Linked DNA regions of Elephas maximus indicus. The protein of the gene in region 1 purifies or fractionates together with the protein of each later gene. This does not show direct contact. Links are inferred from orthologs where the notes say so. Each region holds a gene or a part of one and is shown in the gene's direction. Other genes may lie near its edges. The genes, in order: PFDN2, POLR3B, PFDN1 and PFDN4.

Region 1 (7,187 bases):
AGCAGGCTGTGGGCCATGAAGCCATCAAGCTGCTGGTGAATGTGGACGAGGAGGACTATGAGCTGGGCCGACAGAAACTCCTGAGGAACTTGATGCTGCAAGCATTGCCCTGACCTTTCCCCCTTCTCACCTCTCTGGGGACTGTTCCCACCACCCACCTCTGGAGCTTACATACTGTTCTGGGGTTTGCTGTCTACCCTTCCAATCACATCCCCTGCCCCCCCCCTTTTTTTTTCAAAGGAAAAGACAAAGGAAAGTGGAAGTGGTATACCCCACCCCTCCCTGTACCCATGTGCCTGGGCTTCCCCTTTGTTTCCCTTTTCCACTTACCCCAGTATGTGTCTCTACAGCCACCTTACCACTGAGCCGTAAGACAAACGTGTAGGGAGAAGCAAAGTCTATAGAACATAGTCTTTGTGAGGGATTGAAGTGAACACTGCTTGTGGGTGCGTTGAGGGGTTATCAATCCTTCTGGCTTTATGAGGGCTCTTAAATTTTGTCTGAAAAATGAAAGGGCTGTGAGAAAGGGAGCTATGTGGAAGGTGGGACTCTGAAGTGTATTTTGGAAATTAATCACCACCCTCTCCCAAATTATAGAATTTTTAAAAAACAAGCTGTGGCCCTTTCCACTCTCTCCTGGCCTCTGGTGCTGCTCCTCTCTGCCTCCTTTCCTCTCTTCCACGGCTTAAAGCCTCTGCCTGGTGTGGCTCCTTCCTTTTTCTCCCTTGCCAAACCCTCTTCAAGGGAGTAATAGGTGAGAGGACTGGATCAGCCTAGTCACTCCTCCCAACTGTGATGTTGTGTATACACATCCACAGGGTGGATGGAGAAGAGTCTGCTGATGAAAATACACTCCCCCTGAAAAGGGGAAGGGGGAGTGTGACATTTTCCTTCCATGTTCAAGTGAAAATAAATAATGTACCCTGCAGCCCTTTTCCCCTTTGCTTTCTTTTGACTTGGGCAAAGGGCATCATATGTGGAAGTGAAGTAATTCAGTATCAATTCCCTCCTTTTTCCTTCCCCATTCTCCACCCCCTCTGCCAAGCCCGGGAGAACAGGGCTGGGACATGCACTGAATGTTGCACTTTCCTTTAGGTCGGGAGGCATGCTGAATAAGCCAGGAGGCCAACAACTAGGGCCCAGTCCAGCTGGTACAACACGACCGCCCCTTCCAACTCCCAAAGGAGATGTCCAAACACAAACTTAATGATTACATTTTTTTTTTCAATGCCAGTGATGCTCAGCTCTCAGCATAACTTCAGTTTTCACGAAATAAACAGTGACTATAAAATCCACCTTTCTGAAACTGAAATCTGAGCCCAGGTGAAAGTTTCTTTCCCAAAAAGCTGAGCACGTGTTCCATCAAAAAGAGTCAAAGTTGTCCAAGTGAGGGCTGCTGTGCCCGGGTCCTGCCTACAAGTCACAGCAGTATCAGCTCACAATGGGGGTCTCAACTCACAGAAGTTAAAATGCTTAATACAATGGTTGACCCAGACTGCCATAGAGGTCAGGCCTGCGGTGCTGGAACACAGGCAGGTGTTGGCGCAACTGTCGTAGATAGTTGAGATCGACTCGGGCAAGGCAGAGGCCTGGTCCTTCAGAGCAGCGGGCCACCACTGTTCCCCAGGGATCCACCACCATGCTGTGGCCGTAACTTGCTCTCTTCTCATGATGGTGGCCACATTGTGCTGCTGCCACTACATAGCACTGGGTTTCAATGGCCCGGGCCCTCAGCAACACCTGGGGGCGAGGAGATGCGTGTTCACTTAACTACACATAGCAGCTAATGGGAAAGTAATAGGTGGAGATTACAGGCCAAGTGCATAATCTACCCTTCGTGACTGTTCTGTCAATTGCCTAGGAAAAGTCAACTATCCTGTAACATATGAGAGCTAGACAACAGTTTGGAGAATGAAATTCGCACTAGGTGGAAAGGGGAAGAAAATCTATTAGTAGGGTCCAGGGAGGAGAACGAGGCTAAGAGACAGCCCTTAGGTTTCAAAGAGGCATCCTCTTACCTCCCAGTGGGCTGGGCCTGTAACAAATCCAAAGGCTGAAGGGTAGGTAAGTATTTCTGCACCAGCTTGAGCCAAGGCCAGAGAGAGTTCAGGGAACCGCATGTCATAGCAGATAGCTAGACCAATCTGGAATGAAAAGTCTATTTAGCCTCCCTGTCCTGTTTCCGACAGCATCTAGTCATACCTCTGCTGTTCCACTCCTTAGGGCTTTCCACCCTTTACCACCACTTTGAAAGTTCTCCTATCCCCCCTCCTCCTTGTTCCTCTCTCACAACTCCCACCTTGCCTGCTGGTGTGCTGACAGGTGGCTCGAGACTGGGCCCAGGTATGGTAGAGTTGCTTTCATGCATGGGTGCCTGCCCTGGGATATCTACATCACACAGATGCGTCTTCCTATAAGTGGCCACTACTGATCCTACAGTAAGAAGGAGAAGAATTGCCAGTGCTGGTGCACTAGAAGCCCAGTTTAGCTCCTCCGCCCATCTCCAAACAGAAGATGGTTTATTGGCTAGGAAGAGAAGTACAAACACCCCTAAAACCCTGGGGCAAGGAATTAAAAGTTGAGAAAACAATTCTGGGGATCTAAGTTTAGGTAGAAGAGCCTGGGAAGAGGCAGGCTAAAGGGTTGTGAAGTCTCACCCTTGCTGTTCAGAAGCACATGACAATTGTAGATTTTCTGAGTCTGCTCCCAGTCTTGGCCACGCTCATGGAAACCACCCAAGGACAGCCAGAGTCCACATTCCCTGGGGGGAGGGGACACAGACAACTCTTCTCAAGGCTCTAGCCGCCTACTGGCAATCCAAGGATACTGCACAACAAAGGCTACCTCTCCCTCCCCTTTTCCCTGATACCTGGCAAGCTCCGTATATTCTCCCAAAAGTTTCCCACCCAGTGGCTCAGAGAGGTGTAGTGTCTCCGCAGGGTCCCGTGCAATGAAGTCAAATGCCTCAGGCAGGAAAGCCAGGCAAGCGCCCAGTCTGGCAGCCTCTCGAACCAGCTCAGCACATGTTTTAAAGTTCTGCTCCTTGTCTGGTGTCGATGTTACCTGGCACACAGCCACCAGGGGCAGTTCCCAGGAGGAAGAGGAGATGGCCATGGCTCTGGGCCTGTGAATGGCACAGACAGAATTCTCAGACATCCCAGCATGGGGAAATTCAAGTTTAATGATAAGGGGTTTAAATGGGGAGACAGGAAGGCTGGACTTCCCTTTGATTCTGCTCTTAACAGGGCACACTGACCAAAGCCTAGTGGGTTCACCAATCAAATGTTCTGTGGATGGTTGGCACCCCTGTGTCTCCCCACCATCCATTCATTTAACATTCACTGAGTATCTACTATGTGCCAGGCACTGAGGACACAACAAAACACATTACCTGTGCTGAGCACAAAGTACTGAGAGTCGAGGTATTCGGAGTCCAGGACACAGAAGGAGGGGCAGGAGCTGGTGACAAGGCCTGATGATGAAGCCCAGCCTGAGGAAGATGAAAAATCAGCACACCGATCCCTCCTTGAAGCCATACGTTTCTGGGATTCTCTAACTTCTCCCTTCACACTGTGAGGCTGAATCAGAACCCTGCCAGTAAAAACTCCCAAGTCTTCAAAACACTCTAAGCAATCATAGGCTACAGGAAGAGGTCACAAAGTAGGAAAGTAGAGGAAGGGGCTCTGCTGGGCGCCGGAATACTTGGACTTACAGCGATCTCACATTACACAGAAGCCCTTTTCCTCTGTCAAACGTTTCCGCAGTTCAAAAGTCACCTACAGGAAACTTCCTTGATTTTCCCAGGCCTTTCTTCTCGACTGTGCGTCTGCACAGCTTTATTGACTAAACGCATATTTCCCCCTCACACCGAGAATCTCCGAAGGGAAGTTCACCCTCCCTCGATCCCGGCCACGAGTACCCAGATCCCAACCCGTGCCCCCACCCTCCAGTCAACCCATCCTTCTCCGCCTCTCCCAGGGGCCGCGCCTCTGTTGCACAAGTTAAAGCACCGCAGGTGGAATTCACCGCGGCCGGCGGGACGGGAAGCAGGTCCTACATCAGGATACAGCCGAAACCATCAGCAAGGTCCGGGGCGAAGAGCGGCCTGGAGCCAAAGGCGCCGGAGGCGAGTGGGCGGTAACTCCAAGACCGGACGTGACGCACGGCGGGGGCTGAGCCGCGCAGGCCGGAAACCCAGCAGGCGGCGAAGATGGCGGAGAACAGCGGTCGCGCCGGCAAGAGCAGCGGTAGCGGCGTCGGGAAGGGGGCGGTGTCGGCCGAACAGGTGAGAAGCGGAGAACGCCAAGGAGAACAACCCCGGCTGGGTCCGTAGTTGATGCGAGGAGAGGGGGGCCTGTGGCTCGCATAGGCCTTTACCCGAGTTGCACATTTGCATGGCCACCTAGAGAGGGGAGGGTCCTTGGAAACGCCAGCCGAGCCCCCCGGGAGAGAGTGGGCCGGTGGGTAGGTGAGAGCCACGCCCCGCTGGGGTGATGGGTGAACCTGGGAGAGTGGAAAGCCCTGGGGTGCAGAGCCTGGGAGGTTGCACAAGTCTGAGGGAAGATGGGTCGTCACTTTCCCCACCTTCCCTCTGCACCCCCGAGGCAGGATATGGCCGGGCAAGGCTGCTCATAAGGAATCCTAGGGCCTTAGACAACGGGCTGGTTGTGTAGTATGTTGTTACGTGACCCTGGAACCACGTGGACAATCGCCGCCACTCTGCAGAGCCACGTGACTCACATACTCGAACAGCCTAGTGTTCTATACTAGATTCGGGTGTCATTACTAGATTGAATTTCTTAAGAGACCAAAAGCCTTTTTCTGATCCAAGTTTGCGTTTCTCCCAGTGCTTAGCGTCAGAGACATTTGATAAATTAATCAGAAAGAACCTTTGTGGCTTGGAAACCATGGTTTGCTAATAGTGGGAAAAAAAAATAGTGTTTGATCGGAATGGTAAGAAACCTACACAATAGAAATGAAAACATATTTAAACAGGATCAGTAATCAAGTGGCATAAGGTTGCATTTGAACTTAGCTGTTTTAATTACAAGTTCATTCAATTATTTGTTGAACAGTTACTACAGGCAAAGGTACCTTGCATAAAAAATTTTAAAACCGTCCGGTGCTATCAAAGAGCTGATAGCCTGGTGGGGAAAATAAAACACAGAAAATACTCATATGAAGCAGAAGACAAGTGTCCCAAGAGAGATGTAAAGTGCTATGGAATTTTGGGGAGGAGGGAAGAGAGAGTTTCTTACTTAGGGGCAGGGCTTTGAACCGGTTCTTCCTGGGTCAGTCTTGGCCAAGGAAGCAACACGAAACAGACCCAGATTTTTAAAATTTTGGTGAACCGGAATGATACCCTGAAGGGAAAAAAATAGGTCGAAACCCTGCTAGAAACCTAATCTCCGTCTTAGAAAACAAGGGCAGCATACGAAGTTGCACAGCAACCAAATCTCTTGCCGGTGGGATTTTGAGCGGAGTCAGAAACATTGGTGCCCCTCTCAAAGATGGCAGGAAACTGTGTGCGTTGCTCTCCGCAGTCCTGCCAGTAATCCAGTTTCATGCCTCAGGCTCCTGAGAGGGGTCATTATGCCTTTTTTGAGTCTCCCATTCCAGGGCTTTGACCATTTTTCCTATTCCTAGTTAACATTCCGGAGCACCCAAATTGTAAAAATTGGAGTCTGTTCGGGTTGTGCTTCATTGGCCATGACTGAATCAGTTGGAACTACTTCAGGGCCCTGCTTAGGGGAAAAGCGGGAGGGACGGAAGTAACCTAGTACTTCTTAAGGGTCTGCCATGTACCAGGCACTCTCCTGGGTACAGGGAAACATACAAATGAAATTGTCTTTGTCTTCAAGTAGCTCACATGCTTACAAACCAAAGATTTTCAGTGTGCCTCACAGCCCCTCCTTTATGGTTGCTCAAGGAGTGACCCCTTAACTTAGCAAGAGGTTATGGAATTTTGGGAGCAGGTGGGCAAGGGAACCTGTGGTGTAGAGGGGATGGCTAAGAGCATAAGAACAGTGCACTGAGATCAGACAGCCCGGGGTATGAATCTCATTTCTTCTGCTTACTCTCTATATATGATCTACAATGAGTTCCCTCAGCTTTTCCCATCTGTAAAAACATACTAAATAGAACTGACTTCATCACCGTATGTTGATAATTAGGCAAAACAACATAAAGTGTTTTCTAGAGGAGATTCTTCTTCAGCTCAGTTCTAAAAGATAAATTAGTTAAGCAAAGAAGGAAGTAGAAGATTTTCTAGATAGAGGAAATAATGTATTAAAAAGCACTAAAGTATGGAGTTGCCCAGCAATTTTGGGGAGCAGGTGGACTCAAAGTTTGAGATGGATTGCAAGATTGAGAGTGGAGTAAAAGAGGAATTGCTCTGGTTTTTGTCTTTGGTGGATAATGGTTCTTTGGGGAATGTAGGAGAGTGAACAAGTTTGTGGGGAAAAATGAGTTTAATTTAGGATTTTGAATTTCAGTTTCTCATGGGATATCCCAGTAGAGACATTTAGTAGGTGGTTTGATCTATAAATCTTGATTAATAAATCCTGAGTTACAGAAGGAAATTTGAGTTGGAGATACAAATTAGAGAGTTATGAGCTTATGGATAGTAGATAAAGCCCTGGTTGTGGATGAAGTCATCTGGGGTATAAGAATGGCGTGGAGGCAGCATCTGGCCCCCTCTAACTTCACAAGGGGGAAGAATCATTATTATCAGTGTCAACAACCCAAGGCTGATTGCATGTCTCCACCCTCCAGCCTTTTTACCAACTCTGATACCATCTGTCACTCCCATGGCAGTCTACATCTTTGTTGGGTTTGATAATTTGCTGCAGTGGCCACCCAAAACTCACAGACCATACCCACAGTTATGGAGTTTATTAGGAATAAATAACAGGTTACAATTCACAATCAATCAGGAAAGTCTCAGGGTACAGTTTTTTGATCATATTAGCCTCTTGTCAGCTGTTCTAGCAGGCAGGCCTTTCTCAGGACCTCGGCCCCTCTGCTCGGCCTCTGCCCTGCCTGAACAAGTGTTAAAAAGCTTTTTAGCTCTGACAGTAAGTGCCTGGAGGCACGCCACTCTGAGGAATCCTCCTGCCCAAAGGTGCAAAGCTTTTTCACTCTGTGGGCCAGGAAGCCCACCACGCTGCTGTTTCCTTGCTGCTGCT
Region 2 (6,845 bases), on another chromosome or scaffold:
TATCACTTTGAGGACTAAAGCGCACCTGACCCAAGCCGTGATATTTTCAATTGCCTCATATGCATGAGAAAGCTGGACAGTGAATAAGGAAGACTGAAGAATTGATGGTTTCGAATTATTGTGTTGGCAGAGAATGTTGAATATACCATAGACTACAAGAAGAATGAGCAAATCTGTCTTGGGAGAAGTACAGCCAGAATGTTTTTTGGAAGCAAGGATAGCAAGACTTTTTCTCACATACTTTGAACATGTTATCAGGAAGGGCCAGTCCCTAGAGAAGGACATCGTAATTGGTAGAGTGCCAGTGAAAAAGAGGAAAACCCTCAACGAGATGGACTGACATAGTGGTTGCAACAATGGGCTCAAGCATAACAACGATTGTGAGGATGGCACAGGGCTGGGCAGTATTTTGTTCTATTGTACATGGGGTCACTATGAGTTGGAACTGACTCAATGACACCTAACAACAACAACAAATCTTTATGGAAGCAGACTGCCACAGCTTTCTCCTATGGATCAAACCACCCACCTTTTAGTTACCAGCTGAGCTCTTAACCACTGTGCCAGCAGGGTCCTTGAGAGGGAGGACAGGGAAGGTTTAAGGCAAGTCTAGGTGAAGTGGAGAATGGACTAGAGAGACTATGTGACTGTACAGCAGCATTAGGGGTCTACATGATGTTAACCATTAACCAGTTGCCATAGAGTTGATTCTGCCTCATGGGGACCCTCTGTGTGTCGTAGTAGAACTGTGCTCCATAGGGTTTTCATTGGCTGATTTTTCCGAAACGGATTGCCAGGCTTTTCTTCCAAAGCACCTCAGGGTGGACTCGAACCTCCAACCTTTTGGTTAGTAGTCAAACTGATTGTACCAGCCAGGGACTCCTACATGAAATTAGTTGGCATGAATTTAAAGTGAAACCAGTTCAACATGGTTGCATTGCTCCCTCCTCATTCACTTGCATAGGTGCAGACGTGGAGCAGGCACAGGGTTGGCTTTAGTCAGGGCTGAGGTCTTGCTAAGCACGCAAGTGTGGTGTGGAAATGACAGAAGGCAACGTGTAGAGTGATGACTGAGCACTGATGACCGGCACCTCAGCAGATGCCATCATTATAGATGACGTGAAAGAAAATAGACCTGCCCTTCCTCATGCCCTCATCCTATGAAAACCCGCTGGAACTTAGATGGGACCCCAAATTAGAGGAGATCGTGTTTCTGCCTACTCAGGGGGAGGAGGGCTGAAAGTAGAAATTAGGGTCAGCTGTAGAAAAATAAAGTTGTACCTCTGTTTGGCACACTGGGGTTTGAGCTTCGAGATTATCCGCTATATGTATACTACCAGACGTCACGTTACATTAAATTTATTTTTGTCTTCCCACATGTTTGTGGATAAATGACTGGTTGAAATGCCCTTAAGATTTATTCAGGCAGAACCGGTTTTGTACAAATAACGTGTGTTTCAAGAAGAAAAAAATGCACATTATTAGACTATATATTTAGTTTTGATCAAAATTACATACTTCAGTATGAGTTACCTGGATTTTTTTAGCCAGGTATATTTTTTATATCCTCTAATTTTTTTTTCCTGATTAAAAAAATATATATAAAATGTTGACAATATACAAAAATGCAAAAAAGAAAATAATAAATAGAATCAGCCCTGAAGCTGCCAGTGATAGATAACCTGTATTAATATTTTGATGTGTTTACTCCCAATATTTTTTTTCTGTTCCTATCAAAGTGCCTTGAACTTAGTAGAAATCAATAAATACGTGTTGAACATCCATATTATAAAATTACTAACTTGAGTTCATCATGTACATCTATAATTTTTACTGTATTTTTCACTTGCCATTCTATTGATAATTTTTCCATGTATTAAAATTTTTTGCATCTTTTTTTTTAAACGGCAGTGGTTGCTGATTTCCCCCCACAAAAAGGAAAATAGCTTTATTTCAATGATAAAAATTACACATTTTCTGTAAAACATTTAAACAATACTGGAAACGGTAAAGAATAGCAAATCACACCAACCAGGGATAACCAGTTACAATCATTCCCTTTAACCCTCTGCACTGACGAATGCATGTAATGTACATAGGTGGGACATTATTCATGTAACATGTTTTTTCTCCATTCTCACTTATCAACAGGTGTGGCCATCTATGTCAAAAACAGAGATTTCTGCAATTACTTCAATGGATGTTTATCATTGCAGTGTATCAATGCATCATCATATCAGCTACTCAGCTGACATCTAGGTTGTTTCTTGTATTCTGCTTTTATAAAAAATGCTTCAGTTGGACGATCTTGTACATACATGTTTGTACAGATTTTCAGTAATCTCCTTAGAATAAATACCTGTAAGTGGAATTGCTGGGTCAAAGGAAAAAATACATATATACCTCTAGAAAGATTGTAGCATTACAGTAACAACATACTCTCCCTCCAGCAATGTAAGAGAGAGCCTGTTAGTCTACTTTCTGGATAACACTTGATAATGTAAATCTTATCTGTACCAATTTGGTGGATGAAAAATGATTTATTTTGTTTCCATTTGCATTATGAGGTTGAATATATTTTCATATTAGCCATTTGCTTGTTAGTATCTTTTGCCTAGTTTTTCCCCTGTGATTTTTTTCCCCCTATTGATTTGTATGAGCCAAGTGTAAATTAAAGGACACAGCAGTTAAGCACTTGGCTGCTATCCAAAAGGTTGGCAATTTGAACCCATCCAACAGCTCTGGCTTCGCAGGAGAAAGACCTAGTGATTTGCCTCTGTAAAGTACAACTGAGAAAACTTTAAGGAGCAGTTCTACTTTGTCACGTGGTGTCGCTATGAGTGGAAATTGATTCCACAGCACCTAACACCGACAACATTGTAAATTAGGAATACCAATTTTTGTCTTCTGCCAACTTGTTTTTAAAAATCTGTATTCATGATGATTTTTTAAACATTTGTACAGACAATTTTAAATTTTTCATGAAATTAAAAAATCATGTTTAGAATGATCTCTTATGCTAAACTCTACCATGATTTTCGTTCATGATTTCTGATTGTGTTGCCACCTTGTCAGCACCTGTTCACCACCTCAATGGTATGAATATATTCACCTGTATTTTCTTCTAAAGTTTTGCTAACATTTAAATACTTAATCCAGTAGGATTTACTTAGACGTATTTTTTTTCCCTAAAGGATAATCATTTGTTCCAACATCATTTATTGAATAAGCCATTTTTTTCATACTGTATTTATTGCTGGGTCTTCTGTCTAGTCCTTTGAGAATACTTATCACTGTGGTGTTACTCTCTAGTGTGTTCATTCCTCCTCCCTTCAAGGTCATTTCGGTGGTTATATAATAAATTACATGCACGTGCCATACTTTAATCCCTTATGAGGCGTTTGGGAAGTTTCCTATTTTTTCATAAAATGTATACAGTTTCAGATTGAATTAAATACATTTTCTGCCTCGTTGGCCTAAGATGCGCAAATTATCCGTTCACAATTTTCCTGGAATTATTTTAAAAATTACAACCAACACGTCTTACTGGCTTCAATTATTTTAATTGGCTATGAGCTCTTTGGAAAACCTGGTAGCATACTGGTTAAGAGCTATTTCTGCTAACCAAAAGGTCCGCAGTTCGAATCCGCCAGGGGCTCCTTGGAAACCGTATGGGGCAGATCTACTCTGTCCTATAGGGTCGCTGTGAGTCGCAAAGGGTTTGGGCTGGTTTTGGTATGAATTCTTTGGCAGGGGGTTGGGATTACCCCGGCAAGACCTCCGAGCTACACCAGAGGGCGCAGTTCTCCGGCTCCGCCTCAGCCACATCCGGGTTTCCGCAGAGGTTCGGGCAGGCAGCAGACGGAACCTTTCCGTTGTGTGCCTGATAAACCTGCCCGGCGGGATGATTTAGGTCTCCGCGCACAGCTCTCCACGGATGCTGCAATTTGCTTGGGGCAGCGAAGCCGGGCGTGAGGGTTCTGTCTGCTGCTTCCTTCATCGTGAGCAGAGTGGGCAGGATGGACGTGCTAGCGGAGGAGTTTGGGAACCTGACCCCGGAGCAGCTAGCAGCTCCGATCCCGACGGTGGAGGTGAGCCCCGGGCACGCGGGGAGCGGAAGGGACCGGGACGCGTCCTCAGGGGGCGTTGCCCCGAGAGCTCTCGCCGCAGAGGGCCACCAGCGGCTACTGCGCATGCTCACGGGTCCGCGCGTCCGGGTTCTTTCGCGTCGCGGCCGCCGCGTGCACGTGGAAGGGCTGAGCCGGGACGAGTCGTCCGCCGCTGTGGGGCCTGGGAAGGCTCGCGGGGGCCCTGAGGTGGACCCCTTCCCGGGCACTGTTCGTGTGTCTGGGAGGATTGGCCTTTGCACCCACGCGGGGGGACGTATTACACCTCCCCAGCCTCATGGAGAAGGAGCCAGGGCCCCGAGGAGCTTAGGTTCCGAGCTCGTTGTAGCAGTAAAACCAAATCCTGTCAGTCTCGGGCTGGGGATCTTTCCTTTTAGCCAGGAGTTCAAATGTGGGCTACTGAGATATTTTAAACGCCCCGAAAATTAATCCAGATTTTTGCCTATGTGTGCGTTTGTTTTTCTGGGGAGAAGCTCCGTAACTTTGATCAGATTCTCAGAAGTTGAGGGTAACCGGCCTGCAGTGAGCTGCCTAGTGAAGTTCAGCTACTGAAATAGTTTTATTATCTGGAAAGGCGCGTATTATATCTGGTTGGTATGGAATGGGAAGGTGGAGAAATGAGGCTGGAGAAGATAGGGGAGAGATTTCAGGTAGAGAGAATACTTGAACCCTTGTAGGCAAGACCATCCGATGTTTATGAAGAAAAAGACAGGAGCAGAGATGCGCTGGTGGAGCAGTGGTTAAACGCTCGGCTGCTAACTGAAAGGTTGGCAGTTCGAACCCACTGGGAGAAAGATATAGCTGTCTGCCCTCCTTAAAGATTTCAGCCTTGGAAACCCCGTGGGGCAGTTCCGTTCTGTCTTATAGGGTTGCTATAAGTCGGAATTGACTGACAACTTTTTTTTTTTAAAGAAATGAAAGATGGGTAGGTAATGAGCGCCATTATGAAAGCCTTTGTTAAACATATGAAGGAGCTTGAACATTCTCCTGGGGGCAGTGAGATGCGATTGAAGAGTTTAAGTAGGAGAGTGAAATGAACAACTAATGTATTAGATTGTAAGAACCTCCTTGTAATCATTTGGCAACTCTGTGAAGTCAATCAAATTCAGTCTATGAATGCCCGCCTTACACTGCTGATCACCAGGCAATGCTGGATTTTAACTCTTGAAGAGTTAGTATTAATAGCATTTACTGAGCACTTACTATGTGCTAGGCATTGTTTAAGCATAACATGTATTATGCTGTTTAATCCTTGGAAATAAGTAGTTTTCACCCCGATCTTGCCAATGAGGTTTTGAGGCCCAGAAAAGTTAAGTAACTAGCCTAGTGTCAGAATCTGGTAGGTGATTGATCCAGAATTTGGACTCAGGAAGTCTGACTCCAGAGTCTTCCTCCTTAACTACTGACTGGATGACTTCACCAGATAGCTGAAGAAGGAGGCCTGTTGTTGTTAGGTGCTGTCGATCAGTTCTGACTCAGCGACCCTGTGTATAACAGAACGAAACACTGCCCAGCTCTGTACCGTCTTCGTGATCATCATTATGCTTGAGCCCATTGTTACAGTAACTGTGTCAGTCCATCTCATTGAGGGTCTTCCACTTTTTTGTTGACCCTCTATTCTACCAAGCACGGTGTCTTTCTCCAGAGTCTGGTCCATCCTGACAACATGTCCAAAGTATGTGAGGTGAAGTCTTGCCATCCTCGCTTCTAATGAGCATTCTGGCTGTACTTCTTCCAAGACAGATTTGTTCATTCTTTTGGCAGTCCATGGTATATTTGATATTCTTCCCCAACACCGCAATTGAAAGGCAGCGATTCTTTGATCTTTTTTATTCATTGTCCAGCTTCACATGCATGTGAGGTGATCGAAAACACTGTGGCTTGGGTCAGGCGCACCTTAGTCCTTAAAGTGGCATCTTTGCTTTTTAACACTTTCAACAGGTCTCTTGCAGTGTATTTGCCCGATGCAATGTGTCCTTTGATTACTTGACTGCTGCATCCATGGGCGTTGATTGTGGATCTAAGTAAAATGAAATCCTTAACTACTTCAGTATTTTCTGTTTATCATGATGTTGCTTATTGGTCCAATTGTGAGGGTTTTCATTTTCTTTATGTTGAGGTGTAATCCATGGTGAAGGCTATAGTCTGATCCTCATCAGTAAGTGCGTTAAGTCCTCTTCACTTTGAGCAAGCAAGGTTGTGTCATCTGCATAACACAGGTGGTTAATGAATCTTCCTCCAATCCTGATGCCGTCAATATCTTGGGTTATTTGCTCAGCATACAGATTGAATAAGTATGGTGAAAGGATACAACCCTGACACACAACTTTCCTGACTTTAAACCAATCGGTATCTCCTTGTTCTGTTTGAACGACTGCCTCTTCGTCTAAGTACGTGTTCATCATGAGCACAATTAAGTGTTCAGGAATTCCTATTCTTCGAAATGTTGTTCATAATTTGTTCTGATCCACACAGTTGAGTGCCTTTGCATACTCAGGAAAACATCTTTCTGGTATTCTCTGCTTTCAACCATGATCCATCTAACATAAGCAATGATACCCCTTGTTTCACATCCTCTTCTGAATCTGACCTGAATTTCTGGCAGTTCCCTGTTGGTGTACTGCTGCAACTGCTTTTGATGATCTTCAGCAAATTTTACCTGTGTGTGATATTAATGATATTGTTTGATAATTTCTGCATTCAGTTGGATTACCTTTC
Region 3 (6,892 bases), on another chromosome or scaffold:
ATATTTTCTGGAGTCATAAAGGCTGGATGAACCCCTGAAATGATTGCCCTGAGGTAATCCTAAACCTTAAACCAAAAATATTCCCTGAAGTCTTCTTAAAACCAAACGATAGTTTTGCTTAACTAGTAAAGAATGACTTGAGCATTGTGCTCTTTTATGATCTATCTATATGGTATGAAACTCACAGCAGCAACTTGAAAGATTACAAAGGAAACTTAGACAGCAGTGAATTTATATTAATGGGGAGGAATAACTCAGAAAAAGAGGGTGAGAATGGTTGCACAACTCGAAGAATGTTATCAATGTCACTGAGTTGTATATGTAGAAACTGTTGAATTAGTGTATGTTCTGGTATGTATATGCTCAGCAACAACAAAAATAAAATAAATCATATATTAATGTAAAAAAAGAAAGTTTATTCCTCAAAGACTTAATAAGAGAACCTACTGAAGGATTTATTTCATCAAGAAGGAAGTTAAACCAAGGAGGAAGGAGTGGGATGCAAAAAGAAACAATGAACAAAAGATTGAGAGAAGACTCTTGCCTAAGGGCACATTGATCTTTTTTTTTTTTTAAAATTGTAGTTTAGACGAATGTTCACAGAACAAACCAGCATCTCATTAAATAGTATACATAGTGTTTTATGACACTGGTTAACAACCCCACGACATGTCAACACTCTCCCCTCTGGACCTTGAGTTCCCTGTTATCAGCTTTGCTATACTCTCTAGCCCTCCAGTCCCTGCCTCTGGGCTGGTGTTCCCCTTTAGCCATGTTTTGTTTTATGGGCCTGTCCAGTCTTTGGGGGCACATTGATATTAAGGAGTCAGTACTTGAACCTAAACTGTCTGACCTTAGCCCGTACTTTCATGTTACATACTTTTTTTTTTTTCATGAGGAGCGTTTCAAAATCACATGATGAAATGCACAGCAAAGTATCCGAAACCTTCAAATTTCAATATTGTCACTATTATTGATCATCTATAATTTTTATAATGAAGTTCTAAGAAGGCAGTAGAGGATCTAAAATTATGAATTAGGCCTGTTTTTCTGTAAAGTTAGAGAGTGATGACAGTTTTCTTCTTCTGAAGAATTCATTTATATCCAAGATTTCTTATGTATTTCTTTCCTGTGAGGCACTATGATAGGTGTTCTGGGGTAAGGGGTGTAAGAACAAATAAAAAATGTTTCAAAAAATAAGGTAGAAACTGTTACACGCCTGTATGAATTACGTGTCTGTCTATCTGCCTTACACATACAGACGGTCTGTGCCTCAAACTTTCAGGCAGCCACAGACTGCTAGGAATGAGGCATGTACACCCACTGACATCACCAATTCTATGGGTGTTACATTCATCTGTTTCGAGCTGGACATATGAGGCACTTATACAATGTTGGGAAAGTGAAAGCCATTATTATTTATAGAAAGCAAACAGTAAATAGTAACAACGGATTCACCAAAGGAGAATCGCTTACCCTTCCCCAAATTATCCATGTCCATCTTATGTTGCAGGGCAGGACTGCCATAGTTCAGGTCAGATGTCAGATGCTGTTTTCATGTCACTGCTGCCTCTGGCTACCACCATGATGCTTGTGGGGTCCTGTATGGCTCCTGAGGCCTCTGCTGCCACTGGGCCTTGCTGGCCTTTACTGCTGGCTCCTGCCACACTACCCAGGCTTGCAGGGCTCTCTTGCCTCCACATTACCTGGGCCCCTGCTGCCCAGGGAGGGAGGTGTGCAACCACTGCAGAGGCACACTCAGGCCTCTCTTCCCTGCAGGAGCAAGCGTTACCAGCTCTTTTAGCTCTGCTGGAATCGACTCGATGGTACTGGGTTTTGTGGCAAGCCTCCTGGCCAAAGGCTCCCGGCTTCGCCCTGCAGTAGGAATATTGCACAGGGTCATCCAAGGCAACCCCTGCATGGGACACACTCAGACATCCGCCCTGCACAGGCAAGTGTTACAGCTATTTTAGCTCTGCCTGTAAGTCTTCTGCTCGAAGGTGCTCAGCTCTCACTCTGTGGGCCTGCAACCCCACCACAGCCACCTTGCTCAGTGGGCTGACATGCTCACAGCCACTGTCTCTTGCCATCTCATGCTGTCTTCAGTGTTTGCTTTCTTTTTGGTTGAGGAGGTTCTCATGGAAGGGACCCAAAGGTCCTTGGTCCAAAGGACGTGCTCTGCTCAAGACTCTTCTTCCTGATGGTAGTGAGGTCCCCTGAACCTCTATGTGATTGGCCCTTATGTAAGGAAACCCCTTGTCAATTTCCAGTCATGGCCCTCCCACCAGGACCACAAACTGACCAATCCCCTTGGTAGACCATAGTCACTCCATTTGCATAGTTCCAGCCAATCATTTTGTGGGAGTACAAGACCATGGCTAGAAGAGCCATGTGAAAGTGATTCATTGCACCACAGTGCCCTGAGAGAGAAACAGATATAGTCTTGAGGGAATTTAGAGGAGGGATTATCTTTGGTGTGTGTGATAGGTTATGTAAGGATCAAAAAAGACATAACGGAAGAGGTGGCATGTTTGCTGGACCTTGAAGGGCAAACAGGATAATATTAACTACAGCAACTATCTATTATCTACTGTGTGCACGGTGCTGTCCTTGGAACTTTCATCCTGATCCCATTTTCTGCACAATAACCCTGTTAGATCGATATTGTTATTCCTAAGTGAAATATGAGGAGATTGAAGCTCATCAAGGATAAATGAATTGCTGAGACACACAGTTAGTAAATGGAACCAAATAGACCTAAGCTCAATGTAGGCCAAGCCCTGAATCCAGATCCAGAATTTTGCTCGTTCCAAATTCCCTGATCTTCCCTCTCCCTCAGTTTTTAGGGTAGATAAAACATCTATTTCCTCCATTTCAAAAAGTCCAAATACTATTCATTCCTCTAGTTCAAATGTCAGGTCCTTTTAGAGCAGAAATTCTCAAAATGTGGCCCACTAATGCCTTGCATTAGGTCATCAGAGAGTTTGCAAAATGCTTATTTTCAGGCCCCACTGTCAAAGATTTTAAGTACGTTTGGGATGCCACCACCAGACTGCCATTTTGTAGTTCTGTGGTGGTTCACATGTTGCTATGATGCTGGAAATTATGCCACTAGTATTTCAAGTACCAGCAGGGTCACTCATAGTGGACAGGTCTAAGTTGAGCTTCTAGATTAAGACAGATGAAGAAGAGAAGCCTGGAAATTTACTTCCGAAAATTAGCCAATGAAAACCTTAGGGATCACAACAGAATATTGTCCGATATAGTGGAAAATAAGCCCCCTAGGTGAAATGGCACTACACAATGGCTGCAACAACGGACTCAAACATACCGACGATCATAAATATGGCATAGCACAGGACCAGGCAACGCTTCCTTCTGTTACGCATAATGTCGCCATGAGTCAAAGCAGACTCCATGGCAACTAACAAGTTCCGGATGAGGCCCAGGAAACATGTATTTTTTCAATAAACTTACTGGATTTCTCTCGAGAACCACTTTGTCTAGGTCTTCAGAGAGCACTCAGCAGCATGAAAGTAGCATGCCTGAGGCGAGGGACCCATTCTTACTCATCCCTGTCAGCACAGGGACCTGCTGGAGGACTGAAAAACTGAAGGTTTGGTCTGATATACATACATCTCAATTTAGCAGTACAAACTAAGCTATTTGTCAATTTTTTTAAGCCCATACACGTAGTCTGTGCGTTGGGCCGTGTCTGAAGGATGGAGAAGAGCAACTCAAGCCTGATAAGCCATGTGGGGAAGACAGACTCTGAGGCCAGACCAACCGCTCAGAGACCGCCTCACTCACGCGCAGGCGTAGAAGGAAGGCGAACAGGCAGTTTCTTCAGGGCGCGCCCTTCCCCCGTCTCCTTTCCGGCCTTCTCCCAATACGCAGGCGCACAAAGTCAGCCAAGATGGCGGCCCCCGTGGATCTGGAGTTGAAGAAGGTAAAAGAGGGTTTTGAGCGGGTAGAGGTTTCTCTTTCGAAACTGAGGGGCCTGTAGACAAGAGTATCGACTGAGGCCCGAGTTCCACAGAAAAAAAAAAAGAGGCTCCAGGGGACTGGGAAGTGGTTTCCCAGAATCCTAAGGCGGGACCGGGTCTCCTTAGGCTTGGGTAAGGGGGGGAGGGGGCGAGTGGCTCTTGCTGGATAGGAGCCGGTTGGGTGGGTCTCTTTAAGTCTGCGGACCGATCGCTGGCTTGTCCCTCGTTCTGAGCTCCAGAGCCGTTTTGTTGCGCTAGGAACCTTCAGGGACTCAGTTCTATAGTAAAACTCGAAGAGAGCGTTTCAGATTGGAGCTCCTTCGGGCGGCTTGCTTGAACTGCAATTCTGCCGCTTCATTTGATTTGAAAAACTCCAGTCCAACTTGTCTTTTTAGGCCATTTATTCGATTCCATGGAGCCCTGCGGTGTAGTGGTTAAGAGCTGAGCTACTAACCAAAAGGTCATCAGTTCGAATCCACCAGCCGCTCCTTGGAAACCATATTGGGGCAGCTCTACTGTCCTGTAGGGTCGCTATGAGTCTGTCTCGACTCGACGGCGACAGTTTTTTAATTTTTTTATTTGATTCCGTACCTCGAAAGGTTGCAGTCTCTGCAGCTCAGAAAGTCAGGTATTTTCATAGGAATGTTCATATCAGGACTTTGACCCCCTTTTCTTTTTCGGAAAAACCAAAAAAACTTGTTGCTGTTAAGTCAGTTTCGACTCATAGCGACCTTATAGGACAGAGTAGGACTGACCTGTAGGGCTTCCAAGGAGCAGCGGGTGAATTCGAACTGCAGACCTTTTGGTTAGCAGCTGAGCTCATAACCACTGAGTTACCAGGGCTCCTTTTTGGGAAAGATTTGACAAAAAAAGTAATTAAGTCCAGTAAAGTTTTACCAATGAAAGAGATATCAGAAGGAATTGGGTTTCTTTGTTAAAATAATTGCTTAAAAATGTGTTACTCAGATTTTGTTATCTAAGAGTTGCCAGGTTTCTAACACCGCTGAACACATTGGTGCCTAGTCGAGTCTGACTCAGTGACTCTATAGGACAGAGTAGAACTGCCCCATAGGGTTTCCAAGGCCGTAATCTTTACAGGAGCAGGTCACCACATCTTTCTTCCACGTAAGAGCCAGTGGGTTGGAACCAGCAACCTTGCAGTTAGGAGCCGAGCCTTAACCATGCCACTGGGGCTCCTAACCCTAACCATCCAAAACCATACCATTTTTTCGGAGGGAGGTTGGAAAGGACCTTGGAAATCATCTAGCTTAAATGTATACTTCTCTAGAAAAGGAAACTGAGTTCCAGAAAAGTTATAGTCAAAGATTGGCACTAGAATCCGGTATTCTTTATCTTACCCCACACTTTTTTGACCATTAATTTAGGTTCTTGAGAAGTCCATCATATTACTTCTTGAGACTGCCTTCTGGTCAGCCTTTGCATAAGAAATCAAACCCCAGAACCAAACCCGTTGCTGTTGAGTTGATTCCAACTCATAGCAACCATATAGGACAGAGTGGAACTGCTCAATAGGGTTTCCAAGGAGCAGCTAGTGGATTTGAACTGCCAGCCTTTTTGTTGACAGCCCAGCTCTTAACCACTGTGCTACCAGGGCTTGTGCATAAGAAATAGGACAGCTGAAATAGCTGTTGCTCCTAATAAATGAAGCTGTTTGTTATTTCTGTGAGGATTTTGTGTGTTTGTGTCTTTTTTTGCCATTTTTTGTCTTAAAACCCGTAAATTTAGCCCTTATGTAGTGTTCTCTAGTGCTGTAATAGCTTTAACAATATACGAGCTTCCTTAACAAACTGTGTTGAGAACAATCAGGTAATACCTGGAATTTTACATTTCAGAACACTATCAGACTGCATTCCAAAATTATACCTTTTTTTTCTGTTAAAAGTTCAAATTTAGTAGTTTACTGAAAGATCTAACAAGGGAGTTTAAGTGTGAATGGACTTTACAGTATTATTTGAATTTACTACAAAAAAAACTAAATGGACTTACCCTGTAATATTAATTTGTTGCTAAGAAACATGTAGACAAAGATGTAAATGAGAATGATACTTAAATTGGATAGTTCTGACAACCAATTAAAGAAAAAAAAAACCCGGCAAACTTGTTCAAAGGTTTCATCTTCTAATGTTTTTTCAAGATCTTTTTTTGGATGGAGACTAATGGGAAATTTTAGGTGCCTTCCCTCCCCCCAAACAAATCTTTTGATACCTTACTAGTAGGTGAGAACAAAGTCAGAATAAAAGTTAAGTAGTAGTCTTTGCCATGTACTGTAGTCACAAATGTTATTAGTAAGGCTTAAGTTTGACAGCATGTGGAAGTCATTCCAGGCACTTCAATAAGAGTATCCAAGACCTGTGTTTATGTTCAAGTTAAGTAAGCATACACAGGGTAGAGTTTGGCTTGGCATGTGTGTATGAAGAGCATGACACAATTCTTCTACCAGTGCTTTGCATTTTCTATCTTTTTTGGTGTTTCTCTTAAAAAATATCCATATTCTGAATAATACTGAAGACAGTAAAATGGAAGATGCCTGAAATAGGGGTCAAAAGAAATGGATTTAAGTACCTGCCTTTCACCTAATAGTTGTGCAACCCTGTGCACAAATCTCCTAATGATTTTAGTCACTTTGTAAATTGTGGAAGTTGAGACTGCTGTTCTTAATTCATAGGGTTATTGAGAGGAGTGAGATATTTAATAGATATTCTCATATTAATATTCAAATTAATGTGGGAGAATGCTTTGAAACTTAGAAGTATGATACAAATGTAGTGAGTTGTTACATTTCTTGTTCTTGTTTTTAATCTTTGGGTTTTCTCTTCTAACTTGCATTTATTACTCTGGGTGCTTGCGACTTGTTACAGTTACTGTTTAATGTGCATTTCTTCTGC
Region 4 (7,612 bases), on another chromosome or scaffold:
TCCTGTAGGGTCACTGTGAGTTGGAATTGACTCAATGGCAATGGGTTTATTTACAATAGCATCTGGTATGGCACAGCTTCAAACGAATCAAGCACACACAAACCCCCTCATCTAGCTGTATCGGAACAGAAGCCGGGGCGTTGCACGTTTGTAGGCCTGGAGGGGCCTGACAGGTAGACCACCACAGAGGCAGCTCCTCCAATTGTGTATCCATTCCATGAGTGGGGATCTGCGGGCTCTGGAGAGGGCCGCTTAGCTAAATGGGTCACCATTTAATCAGCAGCATCAACAGGTACCTTCAGGAGGAAGTGAAGCGTCGACAAGACTTGATCTTACAAGCTCAAGCAACACTAAAAAATGCCAATGTTTAAATGCTGGTTCAATTAAAAAAAAAAAAATTCTTTGTGGGTCGAATACAGTAGCAGGCAGCCAGTTTTCAACCTGATGCAAGCGAACGCCATCATTCACCCTCTGTCAGCATGGTATTTCCAAGTGGTCTTTGGGGTCATTAGTGATTTCCTTCCCTCACCTGCAGTCTCCGGATGCTCCCACGGACACCCTGGGCTTCTTCCTTTCTCTGCTGCAAACAGCTAAGGACTGTCCCCAGCCAACGAAAGAGCTGGAAATGAAAGTTGGAAATTCTCGATATTAAGGAACTGAAAGAATGCTAAGCAGAAAGCTTGAAAGTCCCAGATGTGTACTTGCAGAACTGGGTTTCCTGCTAGGAGAGAGATTAGCTGAAATGACACCCGGGGCTGGGGAGAGGAGGGGGTACGGACTGTGAAAAATGGAGGAGAACCTCTGAGCACCAATGAAACAAGGGTCTCCAAGGTGAGCCAATTTACAGCCAAGGCTGTCAGGGAGCAGTCCATCTGTCCAGATTCAGTGACACTCCCCTCGTCCCTGAGCCTCTGTCCAGCCCCATTTGACCCAGCCCTTGTTGACAATCCTCGTCTGATAACCCAGAACTCCCACGTGGAAGACACTGTTGGCTGCTGGCCCAACAGCTGTTACCTCCTTCTTCCTTTTCCTTGTTTTCAGAAACCCAATTGTGTTTGTTGTTGCTAGTTGCCAGGGTCAGCTCCAACTCATGGCAACCCCAAGTACAACAGAACAAAACCTTGCCCAGTCCTGCACCACCTTCACAATTGTTGGCAGGCTAGACTTGATTGTTGTGGCCACTGTGTATTTTGAGTGCCTTTTTTTTCCAATCTAAATTTTTTTGTTTTTTTTTTTTCCAATCTAGGGAGCTCACCTTCCAGCACTTATCAGAAAATACTCGGTTGTGACCCATAGGGTTTTCATTGGCTGATTTTCAGATATAGTTTGCCAGGCCTTTCTTCTTAGCCTGTCTTAGTCTGGAAGCTCTGTTGAAACCTGTGCAGTATGGGTGATCCTGCTGGAATTTGAAATACCAGTGGCGTAGCTTCCAGCATCATAGCAACACACAAGCCAAGCCACCAAAGTATGACACACTGACAGACAGGTGGTGGCAATTGTATTTAGGCAGCCATATTTTCAGCCATAACAATCATGATTGTTTAAGGTAATCACTAATCCATTGCTTTTGCCAGTGACTGAGCTAGAGGTTGGCATATGGCTCAGTTCTGGCCCAAAAGACAGACATAAGGGCAAGGGTGCTGGAGCATTCTGGGAAAGGTTTCCCTCCTTGAAAAAGAGAGAACATGAGAGAGAGAGAGAGAACACATGAGGGGGAGCGTAAACGGTGACGTGGGCTCTGTCCCCTTTTCCCTGTCTTCATATGTACTTGTATGAGGACCTGGAGAAGCAACAGCCATCTTGTGAAGGGAAAGCCAAAGACTCACAGAATATCCAGTCTAGAGCCAGAACTTCCTGGAACTGCTGAGCCTGCCCAGCCATCACCTACCTCCACCCATAACCCATTGCTGTCGAGTCGATTCCGACTCATAGTGACCCTATATGACAGAGTAGAACTGCCCCATGGAGTTTCCAAGAAGCGCCTGGTGGATTCAAACTGCCGACCTTTTGGTTAGCAGCCATAGCACTTAAACACTATGCCACCAGGGTTTACCTACCTCCATGTCACTTGTTAGAGGAAAAAAAATGACCCCCTATTATACCAGCCACTCTCAGTTAGGCCTTCTGTCCTCAGAGCCAAACATGTCCTGGTGTAGCATTTAGGCTCCATGAATAGATAACAAGAGACTCAGATGTTGAGAAGGCATGATAACAAGCTTGCCCCTGATGAGGAAGCTACTCAGCGGCACATCTATTAGCATGCGGACCATCCTAATTGTGAGTACCTGAACAGAATCTATTTCAGTCACCCCAGAGGTATCCTCCAGGCACCACCATCTGAGTTTCCAAGCCTACTTTATGGGTCTCTGATTCACACAACTGTCATTTGTCACTTTAGATCCTCTTGGTTTCACCTTTCCTTGGCCTCACCTGCTTCTGGCCACTTGTTACACCCAGCAGTTACTGCAGTGGCCACCCCAATGCCCCCTCTGTCTGGGGTGTCCTTTTCCTTTGGTTACCCCATGGCTGGCTCCTTCCTATTCGTAGCTCAGTGGCCACCTCTACAGGGCCAGTCTCTACTGCTCTTTTGATTTTCTCTGTCTCAGCCCCTCGTTTGTTTCCTTCATGCACTTGGTGCCATTTGTGGTGATTTTGTGCTTTTGTCCTGTCTCCCCCTCCATTGCCTGCTTCTACAGTGTTTCCATATAGCTGTTCTTTGTGAGCTCTTGCATGAATGGGTGTCACTGATGGAGCATCTACTAGGTGCTGGGCCCTGTGCAAAGACTTAACCTGAAGAAACTCCTTCCTTCAACAAATATGTGCTGAGCAAGTGTGAGCTATGTGCTGGGAAGACTTGCCTACAAAGGGCCTGGCGCCCAGAGCGGGGAATCTGATGGAAGAACAGGCAAAGTCACTGTGGGGCTAAGTGCTTTGGTAGGGAAAGCAGAGGCACTATAAGGTCCCCTTGCCCCCATTTAACCAAACAGGAAATTGGAACTTGGAGAGAGGAGAAGACTTGTCTAGAGCAGCAGTTCTCAGTGTGGCCCAAGGACCCCTGGGGATCCCTGAGATCTTTCCAGTGAAACCACAGGGGCTTCCTTTTTCCAACTATACATCTGGGTGAAGCCAGATTTCCTTCATATACAGTAAAACCTGTGAAAGCTGGAAATTGTGTAAGGAAGAAACCTGCTGGAGAAGGAAAACCCCAAACCAAAATGAGGTAGGAGTCTTGATAGACAGAGCTAGTAAGCACCTTGTCAAAGGTGGGAAAACTTGCAAAACTTGGAAAAACAAGGCACTCCCATCGAGTTCCGGCTTTCACAGGTTTCACTGTATTTCAACTAAATAGCATATCGCAACAGATTGACTGCAGAAGCAGATACGAGAATACAACCTTCTACCGAGCCAGACATTAGAAGGATTTGTAGAAGTGCAAAACAATGCCATTCTTCTCAATATTTGTTTTTGTTTTGGAAAACAGTTATTTTTCATTCAAATGTTGCTTACATTAATATGGAATGAACTTATTGTTTTTAATTAAATCATATATATATTTTTATGTTTTAATTTCTTGTATGGTTTTGTTTTGCTGTCGAGTTGGCTCCGACTCATTGCGACCCCATGTACAACAGAACGAAACACTGCCTACTCCTGCCCCATCCTCAATCGTACCTATGCTTGAGGCCATCTTTGCAACCACTGTGCCAATCCATCTCCTTGAGGGTCTTCCCCTCTTGCTCTGAACCTCTACTTTACCAAGCATGATGCCCTTTTCCGGGGACTGGTCCCTCCTGATAACATCTCCAAAGTGCGTGAGATGAAGTGTTACCATCCTCCCTTCTAAGGAGCACGCTGGCTGTACTTCTTCTGAGACAAATTTGTTCGTTCTTCTGGCTGTCCATGGTATATTGAATATTCTTCTCCAACACCATAACTCAAAGGCACTAATTCTTCTTGTGTCTTCCTTACTCACTGTCCAGCTTTTACATGCATATGAGGCAATTGAAAATACCATGGATGAGTCAGCGCACCTTAATCCTCAAAGTGACATCTTTGCTTTTTAACACTTTAAAGAGGTCTCGTGTGGTAAATATCGATAAATATAATCTACATAAACAGAAGCTCTTTGAGGTCCTCCGTGACTTTTTAAAAGTGCAAAGGAGTCCCGGTATTAAAAAAGGGACAAAGAGAATCACGATCTAGAGTTGCTGAGTTAGCAACTGGCAGGCTCAAGCTGTACACAGTAAAAAAAAATTACAGTAGTTGTCCAATAATATTGTGGAATAGATTAATTAATTGGGGTACTTCTTCCTTCACACCTTCTGAATTATCAGTGCACGTAAATATCACATCCTATTGTCAAAGCCCTTTGTTCTTAGCTCTTTATCAAAATGCTAGTTTGTTGGATAGATGGAATAGAAGTTCCCTTTCCTCCTCTCCAGGCCCCGCCCACGGAGTCGCCCCTCCTCCCGGCCCCGCCCCTCTGCGCTTTTTTGCGTTGGGCGCCCCCTACCGCCGGCTGCTGGATTATGTGGCTGCTTGCCACACCCCCCTGTTTCCGTGGGCCCACAGGGGGTTGCCTGTCCCTTTAATTGGGATGTACCAAGTGCTTTCAGCTTTCATCTTCCTTCCTGAGTTCGAGTCGTTAGTTATCGTTGGTTGAAGGTTTCGAGAAGGGAATGTGGAGATCGTGTTGTATTTTTCAGGCGATCAGGGCCAACAGGAAGTGAGAGAGGGCACGGGGGAGAATCGCGCCGTTGCGGCCCTCCCCACCTCGCGCCGTAGTCGAGTCCCAAGATGGCGGCCACCATGAAGAAGGCGGTGAGTGGGGCCTTCGGGGTGTCGGGTGCTCCGGCAGCCGGCGGGGGGCGGCCGCGGGGGTCGGAGCAGCGGGATGCTGGGGATGCGCAGCTCTGAGCCCCGGCGTGGGGCCTGGGTTCGAGGTCTCAGCCCTGAGGATGGCCCCGCGGCGAGGCTTGCCGGCGCCCGGCGGCCCCGGGCGTCTTCTTAGGCCGCCGCCCGACAGAGGCGACGTGCCCGGGTTGGGACCCTCGGCAGGCTCAGGCCGCCTCTCGCGGTGCTGAGTCCCCTGGGAGGTCTGAGGACCCCGCGGCCCTTGGGGTGTGGGAAGCCGAAGCTCTCAGTGACCGCATTTGGCCATCACACTAAGCGGTTTCCCTGGATCTACTACTGGGTAGGTGCTAGTAGTACCCTCGCCCACAGGTAAGGAAACTGAGCTTCCGAGAGGTGGAGGAACCTACCCAAGGTAACAGAGCAGGTGAGGGGCAGAGCCAGACCTGCGCCTCCGGATTATCTGGCCTCACGTCGGTGCGCCCAGCCCTGAGGTGCTCACGTCCATACTCCATGCCCCTGAGCCCGCAAGGCTAAAACCGGTATTGAAGCCAGAGGCTGTGTCAGGACCCAGCAGTCTTCCGTTATCCCTTATCCTCCCCTTTTCCCCCTTACAGGTGGAGAAACTTAGACACAGAGAGGTTAGTGTCCCCAAAGTGACTGAGCTCATAAATAGTATATCTGGGGTTCAAACCCAGGTTTGGTTTGTTTTTTCCCAAAGCCACCTTTTTTCCTGCTAAGCAAGTTGCTTCCTATTTGGGGTTTACGAATCCCGTTACAACTGAGTGGATTCCAACTCATAGCGACCCTATAGGACAGAGTAGAACTGCCCCATAGGGTTTCCAAGGAGCGGCTGGTGAATTCGAACTGCCGACCTTTTGGCTAGCAGCTGAGTTCTTAGCCACTGCACCACCAGGGTTCCAGTTTGGGATTTACAATCCAGTAAATCTACCCCGATGCTTAAAGATCTCCAGGTAAAAGAAAAATTAAATGAGGGTGGTGGTGGTGGCGGAGCAAGGACATAATGCCAGTCGATAGTTATTGCGGCTTTCCTGTGTGCTACTACAGGTTTATAGGGATGTGATATTTTTATCCCCATTTTACAGATGAGGAAACAAGCATAGAGGCAAAGCTAGAATTTAAACAGGACTTCTGCCTTCAGAGCCTTGTTTTTAACTCCCATGCCATGAGAATCCCCTGGCTGAAGGTGCTTGCTTTCCAAGGTTTTTGTATGTCTGTTCTCATTCCACTTCTGAGGCCACCTCAGAAGCATTTGCTTCCTTTGCTCTCCTACTTTTCAGTATTGCATAGTTTAAGCCACCTCTCCCTGGTCTCCAGAGACCATCCTGGTTTGCTCAGGGTTGAGGGGTTTCCTGAGACCCTGGACTTTCAGTGGTAAAACCAGTAAAGTCCTGGGGAAAACTGGAATGAGCTGGTCACCCTACTGGTCTGTCATTCACAAATGCTTATTGAGGACTGGAAGAGGGTTCAGGGCCGTGGTGATTCAAACAGGTCTGAAATTTTGGGAGATTCACTTCACCTTCAGTTTGCTAATTTGGTCCATCTGTTAGGTATGACCTTTAATACCCTGAAAGATATTAGTTATGTTAGCCCCCATCTTACAGATGAGGACACTGATGTGTAGAGAAATGGAGGAAATGGTAGAAAAATTATTCGAACCCTGGACTTTGCAAAATTTTTCCATCGGGTACTCCATTATGGGTTCGGTTAAATCAGCGGTTGCCAACCTTTTATCCTTTCATTCAGCAGAGATTTTCGAGCAGGCAATATGGCATAGTCTCTGTGTTAGGTGAATAGGAGTAAAGTCGTTGTCCTCAGAGCATCACAGAACATGTGCTCTAGGGGGAAAGGCAGCCTGTTTCTCAAATTATCACACCAAAAAATATAAAATTTCCACCTTTGGTAAGAACTGTGAAGAAAAGGCACTTGTGAAATGAGGACTGGAGTAAGGTTTGGTCTGAGTTCAGGGAAGGCCCTCCTGAGAAGGTGTCATTTCAGCAGAGATCTGTTAGATTACACACCGAGAGGAAGGGAAAGTTCCGAGGGGGCGAGGCATTCCAGAGAGGGAGTGTCTCCTGCAAAGAGCCTGAGTGCATTTAACAAAAGGAAAGCCAGAATGGCAGAGGATAGAGGGCCGGGGGAGACCCAGGATGGGAAAAGAGCGTGTGCGGAAACAGAAAGTGGCGGCCACACAGAAAGTTTTCTTCTTTGCTTTAGGAGCCATCGAGAGTCGCGTGGTAGATGCTACATGCTGCTCTGGATGTTTTCGATGTTAGGAGTAATCACTGCTAGGTGAAACCCGGGTGGCATAGTGGTTAAGAGATATGGTTGCTAACCAAAAGGCCGGCAGTTTAAATCTACCAGGTGCTCCTTAGAAACTCTATGCAGGCAGTTCTGTGTCCTGCAGGGTCTCTGTGAGTCGGAATTGACTGGAGGCAGTGGGTTTGGTTTGGTTTTGGTTTTAGGTTAGCTACACAGACAGACACTTTTTCCCTCTGCCCACTATAGGAGAAACCTTATCGGCATGTCATAATGATTGCCGTTTGTGATAAAATTGTTTGTATCTTCTTGTTATTGTCTTGTGCTATCAAGTCAGTTCTGACTCACAGTGACCCTATAGGACAGAGTAGAACTGCCCCATAGGGTTTCCAAGGAGCAGCTGGTGGATTTGAACCGCCAACCCTTTTGGTTAGCAGCCGAGCTCTTAACCACTTCAAGTACTTCCCATTTGTAACACATT

Evidence for each region.
Region 2: the proteins of PFDN2 (region 1) and POLR3B purify together in Homo sapiens (affinity purification with mass spectrometry; 3 studies listed by BioGRID and IntAct, with this or other methods). This does not show direct contact. The link is inferred for Elephas maximus indicus from reciprocal best matches to the Homo sapiens genes PFDN2 and POLR3B.
Region 3: the proteins of PFDN2 (region 1) and PFDN1 purify together in Homo sapiens (affinity purification with mass spectrometry; 5 studies listed by BioGRID and IntAct, counting the BioPlex papers as one, with this or other methods). This does not show direct contact. The link is inferred for Elephas maximus indicus from reciprocal best matches to the Homo sapiens genes PFDN2 and PFDN1.
Region 4: the proteins of PFDN2 (region 1) and PFDN4 purify together in Homo sapiens (affinity purification with mass spectrometry; 6 studies listed by BioGRID and IntAct, counting the BioPlex papers as one, with this or other methods). This does not show direct contact. The link is inferred for Elephas maximus indicus from reciprocal best matches to the Homo sapiens genes PFDN2 and PFDN4.

Annotation. Positions count from the first base shown.
Region 1 is NC_064821.1:199,927,126-199,934,312, reverse strand, and holds the start of PFDN2 (prefoldin subunit 2), read left to right. Parts: upstream 1-4,173; 5' UTR 4,174-4,210; coding exon 4,211-4,285; intron 4,286-7,187. Other genes in the region: DEDD (death effector domain-containing protein), read left to right, coding at 1-113; NIT1 (deaminated glutathione amidase), read right to left, coding at 1,474-1,740, 2,019-2,144, 2,300-2,433, 2,658-2,761, 2,870-3,124, 3,392-3,490, 4,058-4,059. UniProt on the Homo sapiens protein: Binds specifically to cytosolic chaperonin (c-CPN) and transfers target proteins to it. Binds to nascent polypeptide chain and promotes folding in an environment in which there are many competing pathways for nonnative proteins.
Region 2 is NC_064822.1:173,470,837-173,477,681, forward strand, and holds the start of POLR3B (DNA-directed RNA polymerase III subunit RPC2), read left to right. Parts: upstream 1-3,834; 5' UTR 3,835-4,019; coding exon 4,020-4,091; intron 4,092-6,845. UniProt on the Homo sapiens protein: Catalytic core component of RNA polymerase III (Pol III), a DNA-dependent RNA polymerase which synthesizes small non-coding RNAs using the four ribonucleoside triphosphates as substrates.
Region 3 is NC_064820.1:153,561,248-153,568,139, reverse strand, and holds the start of PFDN1 (prefoldin subunit 1), read left to right. Parts: upstream 1-3,884; 5' UTR 3,885-3,916; coding exon 3,917-3,949; intron 3,950-6,892. UniProt on the Homo sapiens protein: Binds specifically to cytosolic chaperonin (c-CPN) and transfers target proteins to it. Binds to nascent polypeptide chain and promotes folding in an environment in which there are many competing pathways for nonnative proteins.
Region 4 is NC_064843.1:15,426,238-15,433,849, reverse strand, and holds the start of PFDN4 (prefoldin subunit 4), read left to right. Parts: upstream 1-4,600; 5' UTR 4,601-4,797; coding exon 4,798-4,821; intron 4,822-7,612. UniProt on the Homo sapiens protein: Binds specifically to cytosolic chaperonin (c-CPN) and transfers target proteins to it. Binds to nascent polypeptide chain and promotes folding in an environment in which there are many competing pathways for nonnative proteins.